Linked DNA regions of Rattus norvegicus. The protein of the gene in region 1 interacts with the protein of each later gene in a pairwise test. Links are inferred from orthologs where the notes say so. Each region holds a gene or a part of one and is shown on either strand. Other genes may lie near its edges.

The links. The genes of interacting proteins can lie anywhere in the genome.
Region 2: the proteins of Get3 (region 1) and Gpx7 interact in binary tests that used the Homo sapiens proteins (3 or more experiments, as listed by UniProt). The two-hybrid records come from large-scale screens. The link is inferred for Rattus norvegicus from reciprocal best matches to the Homo sapiens genes GET3 and GPX7.

What each region holds. Positions count from the first base shown.
Region 1 is NC_086037.1:40,032,808-40,038,338, reverse strand, and holds the start of Get3 (ATPase GET3), read right to left. Parts: upstream 3,363-5,531; 5' UTR 3,353-3,362; coding exon 3,192-3,352; intron 2,433-3,191; coding exon 2,285-2,432; intron 1-2,284. Other genes in the region: Trir (telomerase RNA component interacting RNase), read left to right, coding at 5,037-5,372.
Region 2 is NC_086023.1:128,378,123-128,383,737, forward strand, and holds the start of Gpx7 (glutathione peroxidase 7 precursor), read right to left. Parts: upstream 3,604-5,615; 5' UTR 3,546-3,603; coding exon 3,411-3,545; intron 1-3,410. UniProt on the Homo sapiens protein: It protects esophageal epithelia from hydrogen peroxide-induced oxidative stress. It suppresses acidic bile acid-induced reactive oxygen species (ROS) and protects against oxidative DNA damage and double-strand breaks.

The sequences.
Region 1 (5,531 bases):
CACATATCTTACACAAGTAGAATTTCTCTCTCATACACATACACACACAATAAAAAACATGGCCTAGTGGACAAAATACTTGTGTGAGTATGTGAGGACTGAAATTTGGATCTCTGGAACCCAAGTAAAGGTGGACGTGGTAACATGATTCTATAATCCCTAGGCTGCTATAGTTAAGATAGGAGAAGCCCTGGCAACTCTCAGGCCACCTACCCTAGTGTTTACAGCAGCAAACGACAGACTGTCTCAAACAATACTAGAAGAGCCAGCACCAACATCCGGGGATGTCCTCTGACGTTCACAGTGTCACATGGGCATGGTGTGTGCAGTACAACACAGCACAGTACACACACACCCAACCCCCCCCCAGAGAGAGAGAGAGAGAGAGAGAGAGAGACACACACACACACACACACACACACACACACACAGATAGCCGGTACCTGGCAACTTCACTGCTTCCAAAATATACTTCCAAAGTATACCCCAAATCTAACTACTCATCTTTCCCACCATTCTTTCCTTTGACTACCGTGTCATTATGATCTGGGGACATCCACAGCCCTTTTGTTACTCTTCCCAACCCCACCCTTGATTTGCAATCCAATTCCCATGACAGACATGTGGCTCTTTTCTTTTTCTCTTTTTCTTAAATTTATTTATTTATTATATATGAGTACACTGTAGCTATCTTCAGACACACCAGAAGAGGGCATCAGATCTCTAGAGATGGTTGTGAGCCACCATGTGGTTGCTGGGATTTGAACTCATGACCTCTGGAAGAGCAGTGAGTGCTCTTAACCGCTGAGCCATCTCTCCAGCCCCCCACCCCCCTTTTTAAATGTCTTTAGAAACAGGGTTTCTCTGTGTAGCCCTGGCAGTGCTGGAACTCACTTTGTATAGCAGGCTGGCCTTGAACTCAGAGATCCTCCTGCCCCCATCTCCCTAATGCTGAGATTAAAGGTGTGTGCCGCTATTCTCAGCTGATTTGCTATTTTTTTTTTAAAGCTAGGGTCTTACTATGTAGCTTCAATGGCCTCAGATTTACAATGATCCACCTGCCTCTGCCTCTAGTGCAGGGATTAACGGTATGTGCCACCACGCCCAGTTCTTTTCAAACTTGAGAGCTGGGAACGCAGTCTAGCACTGTGTAGCATGCTGGATGCCCTGGCCTTCACCTCAAGCAGTAACAGCAGCACCACTACTCACAACACAATTATAACAGCAACCAAGACATGCGCATGTAGCTAGAGATGGCTCAGCAGTTAAGAGTGTGCACTGATCTTCCAGAGGACCCTCATTCAGTTCCCAGTACCCACCTATGGGTGGGAGTTCACAATTGCCTGTGAACATCATCTCAAGGGAGACTTGATACCTCTGGTCCCTGCACGCATAACTAAAAATAAACTAATTCATTAAAGGAATAGCTTTGTATATTTAAAAAAAAAAATCTATCAAACTTAGACTCTAAGACAAACTGCTTGCCCAGCTGGCAGAGCCACGGTGTGCATCTCTGGTTGGTCTTTCTCCTTCCCCTGCTCACGAAGTTCCACTTCCACCTTCCTCCCTGCTTCTTCTTTTTTTTTTTTTTTTTTAAAAAGATGTATTCATTTATTATATATAAGTTCATTGTAGCTGTCTTCAGATACATCAGAAGCATCGGATCTCTTTACAGATGGTTGTGAGCCACCATGTGGTTGCTGGGAATTGAACTCAGGACCCCTGGAAGAGTAGTCGGGTGCTCTTAACTGCTGAGCCATCTCTCCAGCCCTTCCTCCCTGCTTCTTAAAGGCTGCCTTTCCACATGTTCCTCTGGGAATATGTGGAGGAAAGTGTTGACACCCAAGCGCTGAGTATGGAGACTACGGTTGGCCTGGTGGGTGCTGGTAGGTACTCAACGAGAGTACCTCAAAAGGCCTCACGGTTGGGGATGGAGAGATGTCTCGGTGTTAAGAGCAACGGCTCCTGGGGCTGGGGATTTAGCTCAGTGGTAGAGCGCTTACCTAGGAAGCACAAGGCCCTGGGTTCAGTCCCCAGCTCCGAAAAAAAGAACCAAAAAAAAAAAAAAAAGAGCAACGGCTCCTCTTCTAGCGGATCTGTGCTGGATTCCCAGTACCCAGATGGTGGCTCACAGCCATCTGTAACTCCAGTCCCAGGGGATCTGATGCCCTTATCTGGCCTCCCTGGGTACCAAGAATGCACTCTGGGTAGAACACTTATCACTAACACAAAATCGAAAGACCTTATGGGCACCTTGGCCAGAACTGGGGCCAGGTTTACTTACCATAGCAAAGAGGTTGTCATAGCCTTTGACCTTGGTAGGCACCTTGGAGAACTTCTGATCAAAAGCATCTGAAATGTTATGAGCTGGGTCTGTAGAAATGATGAGAACACTCTCCCGTCCCTTAGACAGCTGGACCGCCAGGCTGCAGCTGCACAAAAGAACGTGGGAATATGGGGGGGGAGGGGGATGAGCCAGTTTTGGTACTGGTGTTTGTAGCAGGATATGCAACGCCACAGAAACCTGGATCAGCAGGGACCTGAAGACCAATGTATGAGTGGGTCCCAGTGGGATCAAGCCTTACTTAATCCTTGCAGAGATCACCACTTGACTCTTTGATTTGGATGGGACGGTAACATTCAGTTGACTGATTGGTTCTCGTTGATCGCCTGCTTCGGCCTTTTCTTTTTGGCACTCCAAGGCACAGTCCAGCTGTCCAGCAGGCACAGACTACTCTCCCTCTGTCCCTCTACTTGTTCAGGAGGATGTACTTCACCTTTCAACGGACTCAGGCACCATAATCACGTGCCTTTTCCACCCCCTTTTACTCCTTCCCTCTCTGGCATCAAATGGAGGTTCGTTATACTAGACAGCTTGCTCCCTCTACTCTGAACTCCCTGGGGTTCGGGGATGGGGTACTGTCCGGCCGACTGAGGAATTTAAATGTTCCTCTGCACGCCCCAAGCGCTTAATTCACAAGACCCAAGGAAGGATAATCCAACTCAGGATGCTAGGCTTGCATTCAGGAGGTATCTTCAGCAGGCTGCAGTAACTTCCGGAGAGAAACAACCCCGTAGAGCCATGGTTAGCTCGCTTTACCGGGATCGGGAAGAAAAAGCCGGTCCCTGTCCTCCCCTTCGTCCAGTGGTACATCCCACCCGTCCTCTTGGCTCCGCTAGAGTCTCCTTACCTGCAGGTGGTCTTACCAACGCCTCCTTTGCCCCCGACGAAGATCCACTTAAGGCTACGCTGCTCGATGATATTGCTAAGCGTGGGTTCCAGTGGCTCCACGTCAGGTGCATCCTCGAACTCTTCTGCTTCAACCCCCCACCCGGCCACCCCCGCCGCCATCTTGGACCCGGCTCACGTGACTAATCGGGGCGCACCACGTGCTAAATACCTGCAGGGGAAATAAGTCTGCTACAACCCTGTGCAGGCTGGAAGCCTGACTTATTTTCGTCCTGCATTAACATTTAGGGATAATGAGAGCTAAATTTTCACCGTTTTATGCGCCGAGGGCTCACCTTTGTGAACTCTTGTCTGTAGTTTTCTAAGAATTCCCCTGTCTTGTGGACATATTGGTACGACCCACACTACTGCCCTTCATTGATTGGACCCTAAGTCTTGCGGCACTCTTTTCATTGGCTGAATCTTGTCTTACTTCCACTGGTCACGCTCAAGTCCTCGCAGGCGTCAGCCTCTCCTTAGCAACCAGGCAAACATCCTGTCCAAGATCTGCGTGAAGTTGATTCCATAGGCTCAGTTTCCTGTTGATCATTTCCCCTTTGCTTTCTGTTTTGGACCTCAGCATCTCTTCCGGTCCTGCAGTTATTCAGTTGGTTGTGAGCCACATGGTTTCTGCAGCAAGCCAATCACGAATGAACTGGTTATTTGGCTGAGGGTCGATTAAAAGCAATAAAGACTCCCATTTGTTGCAGAGTATGCAGACTTTTTCCCCCTGTCCCGGAACCCCCATGTTGGGCAGGAATGATTATCTGCAACAAGTTGTCCTTGTAGAAAGAACTTTAATTTCCGAAACTTTTGTTGTGGTTGGCGCTCTGCTTTCTGTGGGTGTGCTCCAAGTTCAGCAAATGCAATTTTAATCGAGTACCTGTCCTTGGAAGGAATACAAGAGTCCTTAATTCCTTCATGCAGTACGCGGCTCAAAACATTAAGTCTTAAGGACTCAGCCTAGAAATATTTTTCGGCTTCATTTTAGTGCTCCAGCTCTAAATACTAATCTTAGGCAGAAGGGTCTAGCTGTACGCAGCCAGCGGTATTCTTTTTTTTTTTTTTTTTTTTGGTTCTTTTTTTCGGAGCTGGGGACTGAACCCAGGGCCTTGCGCTTCCTAGGTAAGCGCTCTACCACTGAGCTAAATCCCCAGCCCGCCAGCGGTATTCTTATTTCAAGATAAGAGATTAAATTCAAAGACAGATGCCCAACCTGGAGATGCTTCCATTTATAGTAGGAGGTTCCAAGTTAGATATGCTTTGCAGACCTAGTTAAGGACTAACCAAGTTCCCAAGGGTTAATTGAGAGGCCGGCTACTTTTTTTTTTTTTTTCCTCTTTTTTTCGGAGCTGGGGACCGAACCCAGGGCCTTGCGGTTGCTAGGCAAGCGCTCTACCTCTGAGCCAAATCCCCAACCCCCCAAGGGTTAATTGAAAACAGTCCCCAAACAAGATCCATTTAGTTACAGAGTTCTGGTGGCCGACTGGGAATGTGCTCTCTCAGCCCTTAGAGGGGGCCCAGGTCCCAGACGATGGTCCCATTCTCCGGGAGCTTCTGTCTGTTTAACTAACTCGTGTCTGGCAGGATTAGGGATCCGAGGAATGGGACCGGCTTCTGGGATTCACCGACTGAGGTCCCCAGGTCAGAACCCTTTGGCCCCACCTAAGCCCCGCCTACTCTGCGTTGGCTTCTGGGTTCAGACCTGCCTTCCCAGCATGCACTGCTCCAGACGAAGCCAGTCCCGCGCCAAGCGCGCGGTGTGAGAGCCTTTCCCGAAGTCCTTTGCGCGGCATCTGGCCACAAAATGGCTGCCCGAGGGAGACGGGCGGAGCCTCCGGGTCGGGAGGCGCCCGGCCCGGCGGGCAGCGGCAGGAGCCGATGGGCTGAGTCGGGGCCGGGAACATCACCCGAGAGTGGGGATGACGAGGTGTCGGGCTCAAGTCCGGTGTCCAGCGGTGTGAACTTGTTTGCCAACGATGGCAGCTTCCTGGAGCTGTTCAAGCGGAAGATGGAGGAGGAGCAGCGGCAGCGGCAGGAGGAGCCACCCCCGGGCCCGCAGCGACCTGATCAACCGGCCTCCGCCGCAGCGGGCCCAGGGAATCAGAAGAGGAAGGGCGGCCCAGGCCCCACGTTCAGCTTCGTAAGGAGCCGCGGGGGTGGGGGCGGGCGCCGGGGCCCGCGTTGGCTGGGGGAGTCGGGCCCGGGAAGGGGCGTCAGATCCAAGGCAGTCCTCCGCCCGGCTGCCTGGACGATCCCGGTCGTTTGCTGAGAATCTTGAGCCTGGATTCCGGACGAGAGG
Region 2 (5,615 bases), on another chromosome or scaffold:
ACCCACTAGATACCTAGGTTTGACAACCAAAAATTTTTCCCCCTGGGGTTGTGGCTCACATCTGTGATTCCAGTCCTAAGGGGGCTGAGGCAGCAGAATTTCAAATTTCAAATTTCAGCCGAGACTACACAGTAAGACTGTCTCTTTAAAAGAAAAGAAAAAAAAAAGTTGCATGTCTTTGATCCCTGAATGTAGCATACGAGATAGAGGCAAGGGATCTCTGTGAGTTCAAGACCAGCCTGGTCTACATAGCAAGTTTCAGGCCAGGCACTGCATAATGAGATCCCGTTCTCAAAACAAAACACTGGAGAGATGAGGATGTGCCCCCAAGTCTGACAATCTGAGTTCAATCCCAGGGCCCCACAGAATCTCCACCATGACACAACAACAGGCATGCACACACACACATATGCACACACACACACAAACACACACACACACACACACACACACACACACACACACACCCCGAGCACACACCCACACAAAAATGTAATAACAAAGATCTTTTTTATCCCCAAAACAGAGTTTCTTTGTGTAGTCCTGGCTTTCCCCCAACTTTGTAGAGCAGGCTGGTCTCAAACTCCTAGAGATCCACCTGCTTCTGCCTCCCAGGGGCTAGATTAAAGGTGTGCGCCACCAGCACCTAGCTAACAATAAGAATCATTGAGCTAATTAGATCTATCACTCTGCCTGGGGTGATAAAAAAAGATTAGAACTCTCTCCTTCCCCAGTTAAGGGTCTCCCACCTTCTATCCTGCTGACCTTCATTGAAAGCATTAAAAAGCTTCCTTTTATCCTGTATCATGTGTTTCCCTAGTCTTTGTGAAGGGGGAACTCTTGCTTCTTAGACTCTTCACAGACTCAGATGTACATAAAGAAGCAAATAAAACCTCTCTCTCTCTCTCTCTCTCTCTCTCTCTCTCTCTCTCCCTCTCTCTCTCTCTCTCTCTCTCTGATACATTCCACCCTATAGGTAGATACATATGCCCTCCCAAGAAGTGACTACCTCAACATTCATGCTCAACCACGGGCAAGTGACTGCCCTTCCACTTTTCCTTACACCCAGTGTCAGGTGTGTAGTAGGGAGACAGCGAATGGTCAGTAGTGAACGGATGAAGGTGTGGCCCAAGCAGCAGGCCCAGCTTAGGTTAACCAGCTTCCCTGGGTTGACTGCTCCCTGCTTTCTCTCTGAGCTTAGCACTTAAGGGCAGAGACCCAAGACTTGTCCTGCCGGGATTTAAATTCTAACTCTAGCTCTTAAAAACAAAACAAAATGGGAAGGGTGGTCCTCCACACCATGGTGTGTATGTATGGAGATCAGAGGGTGGCTTGCAGAAAGTGGTTCCCTCCTTTCACCATATAAGTCCTGAGTTTAGGACCTCAGGCTTGGCATACCCACGATTTTACTGGCTCTCTAACTCTATCTTTATTTATTTTAACTTTTTGAGACAAGAGCTCATTACCTAACATACCCGAGCTGGCCTGTGACTTGCTATATTGGCCAGACTGGTTTTGAATTCAGATATCTGCTTGCTTCTGCCACCCAAGTGCTAGGATTAATTGTATGCAGGCTAACTCTGTATCCTATACCTTTTAGTATTTTTAAAGTTCTTTGCTGTTTGTTTGTTTGTTTGTTTGAAACAGGTTTTCTTTGTGTAAGAGCCCTGGCTGTTCTGGAACTTATTCTGTAGACCAGACTGGCCTGGAACTCACAGAGTTCTCCCTGCCTCTGGCTCCCAAGCGCTAGGATTAAAGGCCTGTACCATACACTGGCCTTTTTTAAAGCTCTCATTGCTATTGGGATTCCCTGGTTCAGTTTTCAGTGCCTTGTTTATTGTCCTCCCCACCCCAAACTTGATTAAAACATGAACTTGTTTTAATCACTACTGTTTATCTTCAGGGCGTGGGTGTTTAGCTAGTATATAGTAGGTGCTGAATAACAAACAATTAGTTAATGGCTGTCAGAGCTGCTCAGGTGATAAATTGGGGGTCTCTGGGAAGGGGAGGCCTGACTAGTAATAATGGCCTTGCTCTTTGCTGTTCTTTGTCTGGAGTTTTGGATGTTGTCATTGACCTACCATCCATACAGAGCACCTAAAGCTTGCCTAATGCTTCCACACCGTATTCTCACTTGAAATTTATAGCACACTGGTCAGGGCAAGGACTCCCAGTGTCATCGAGACCTTCAAGGCTATTGAGAATAGTTTTGTCCCCAAAGATGCCCTTGCTTGCAGGAAAAGCATACTGAACCATTCTTTTGTGATCCATCCAAATTTGGATGATGGGGTCACATGTCCGTTAGTGTCCAACACCATGTCTTCACACCAGGATCTCCAAGTCCATCTCAAGACACAGAAGATTCTTTGAAGGATTTTAAATTTTTTAATTACTTTTTTTTTTTTTTTTTGAGATAGAGTCTGTATAGCCCTGGCTTTCTGGAGCTCCCTAAGTAGACAGACACTAAACTGGCCTTGAACTCACAGACATCAGTTTCTCTCTCTCTCCCTCCGGCTTGCTGGGATAAAAGATAAAAGGCGTGTGCCACCATGCTCCTCTCTTGAGAGGATTCGTCAACACAGTGTAACACCAGAGTCTCTGAACTTTATAGTTTAAAGGCTCCCTGGCCGAGTCAGCCTCATCTAACACCGTTCAGTCTAGCTGTTTGTATCCTTTAAGTACCGGCTATTGAAATCTCTGGTCCCCCTGACCTTTCTTGTTGTTTTGCTTCTATGTCCGGACTTGGCCAGCTCTCTTTGTCTGGATTGATCTGTCTTGCTCAAGTCTTATTTAAAAGACCCAATCCTGACACACTTCCTCCTTACTGTGATTCGGTCTGGTAAGTAAGGGCCGGTCCACTAGCAACTCCATCACAACTGCTCTCTAAGGGGTGGGCCTTGGAAGGCTCAAGGATGGGAGGGGTGTGGGTGGGGTTCTCTTACAACTTGGATTGCTTTCGAATGTTCTGTCTTCGCTCTCAGGGGCTGAGGGTGGATTCTAAGAATCATGAAAGGGTCCATTTCAGGTGGTAACTCCCTCCACTGCCCATTTGTCTCTCTGCGTTCTCATTGGACCTACTGTTACAGGCGTAGGCTGGACCGGCAAAAGGCCATAAAGGCTCTTGGGAGAGGCAAAGCGGAGAGTGGAGGGCATTCACCTTCCGGGTGGGATCCTGAGCCTTGCCGAGCTCAGTCAGAGCGGGTAGCTCCTGAGCTGTGCCACGTAGCCGCAGGCCTGAGTGGAAAAAGAGGCCTGGGAGCGCTGAATGCACGGATCGCGCAGCCAGGATGCCCGGGGTGGTGTCCGAGCCGTGGCACACCCAAGACAAGCATCCGGCTGAACCCCTGCCCCGGGGCCCCCTGCAAGCCCCTCCCCACTCTGCGCCAGGCCCGCAAGGGACCGTCACTCACCGAGCCGCGGTACTTCTCCAGCGACACCAGCTTGCCCCGGATGTTCACCGCCTTGAAGTCGTAGAAGTCTTGCTCGGATTGCGTGCAGGCCGCGGCCCACAGGAGCAGCCACGCCGTCGCCACAGCCGCAACCATGGCTCACTTCCGAGGTGGCGACTTGGCGAGGGCAAAGACAAGGCAGACGGGACCCCAGCGTTGGGGGCGGGAAGAGGCGGCCCGCTGGGCAGGACGCGCCCCTTCGCAGATGCCTCTGCAGGCGCAGAGTCCTGGCTCTGGACCTCAGTTTCCCTATCTGTGCTCCGCCGGTCAGCTTCAGATCGCCGGATCCCGTTTTCTTGAGGCTGAGCCCAAAATTCGCTCAAGCTCAAACTCAAGATGCAGAGACTTAATAGGGAGATAGAGGAGAAAATCTTTGCGTGAGGATTAGCTTCTAGTGCCTGACCTTAGGCAGATCGCTCCACCACTCTGAGCCCCAATTTCTTCACAGGAATACACCTAGTTAGTGTAGAATTGGGAGTACTGGACTGTAACAGGATAGTGATGGAAAACAATTTGATAGCTGAAAGATGTGTACAAACTTTAGGTTAAGGGGTGTAGCGTTTCTCCCAAAGGGAGAAAGAAGTCAGACAAGTCTGGGAGACCAGAATCTAATGCGGTTTGAATTCCAGCCATGCAGGGGGGTTAAGGAGAGCTTGCCTATCTAGTCAATCACTGGATTAGTGTCTCCTGACAGGAGATGCAACAGGAGCCAAGAAGGCCCCGTATCTGGAGCAGCTGACAGTTAAAGGCTTTGTGGACACTAACATGGCTAGCAGCTGGATTCTCAAGTTAGTGACAAGAGACCTGGACAGCATGCTACAGCATTTCCCAGGCTCAGAAATTGCCAATGATACCCATAAAGGGGCCAAGCGTCCGGTGGTGACTTAGTATGACTCATTTGGGGTACGGGTTCTATGCCAAGTTCAGCTTTAGGTGTCTCTTGTGCAGTGATGAACAAGATGTGTGCTTTCTATTCAGAGGGAGATAAGGCACCAAATAATTCACAGTTAACTCTAAAACTGCTGTTGTAGCAAGTACTGTACCACAGTACAGTAACAAAGCTGAGGGTGTGTGTGTGGGCAAATGAAAGGAGGTTTGAACTGAATTCTGACAAATGAATAGAAATTATTCTGGTAAAAGCAGGAAGCTTGTGCAGAGGTTTCCAGGGAGAGTGAAATATGATACACTGGGCAACGAAGGCTAGTTTGGCTGACAGGAAAGAACGCTTGGGGGTGGGGGGAGGCGGGGGGAGGGCTGGGGAGGGGAGGTAGGAGTGAGGTCAGGCGGCCTAGTGGGCCACAATAAAGTTTACAGGTTTACCAGGCATGATAGCCAATGCCTTTAATCTCAGCATCTGGGGGACAGAGGCAGGCGGATCTCTGAGTTAGTGGTCAACCTGGTCTATGTACATAGTACTAGGCCAACTGTGTGTGACTTCATAGTGAGACATTGTATTAAAAAAATTACAAGCTTTAAACCAAGAAATGAAGTTTTGCTTTTTGATTCTGCTGCTTAAGCATCTTAGTGAGGCCCACCTATAGCAGATAGGTCCCTCTGGCTTTCCTGTGATGCTTTATACAGGAAAAGGCAAGAGCAGATGCTGAGGAAGAAGAAACTGTGGAGCTTTAAGGCCCAGTGATGGTCACAGCAGAGAATGTAGTGAGAGAGAAATGGGATAGTTAAAGTCAGGCAGGCTGAGCAAGTGAAGGCTTTAGAGTTGGGGTGGGGCAGTGACTATGAAGGCACAGAGTCTGAGGGGAGGGTTTGGCTGTTTGAATTAAGAAGGGGTGAGGCAGATGAGTCTGGGGGAGTCTTCAGGGGCCATCTGGGGAAAGGCTGTGAGTACCACCTCACAAGGCTACCAGATGTGTACACAAGGTGACATGGTAGGATTTGAACTCCCAGCCCTCAGATTTCAGAATATGCTGTCTTTCTCTACCACCAAGATGGCTTCTTTCTTCAGGAGCAGACAACTTAACCAGCAGAGGTGGGGTACAGGACAAAGTTGCTCCAGACAAGGTGAAGGCCTAAGCAAGCTTCCCTACTCTTCTGTCTCCTTATCCCAACCTTTTGGGAGTCTTGAGGCCTATGATGGGTCTTCTTAGCATAATAGTTGAGCTGACAGTAATGTTGTATAGTTATCCATTTCCACAGCTGCCTTGCCCA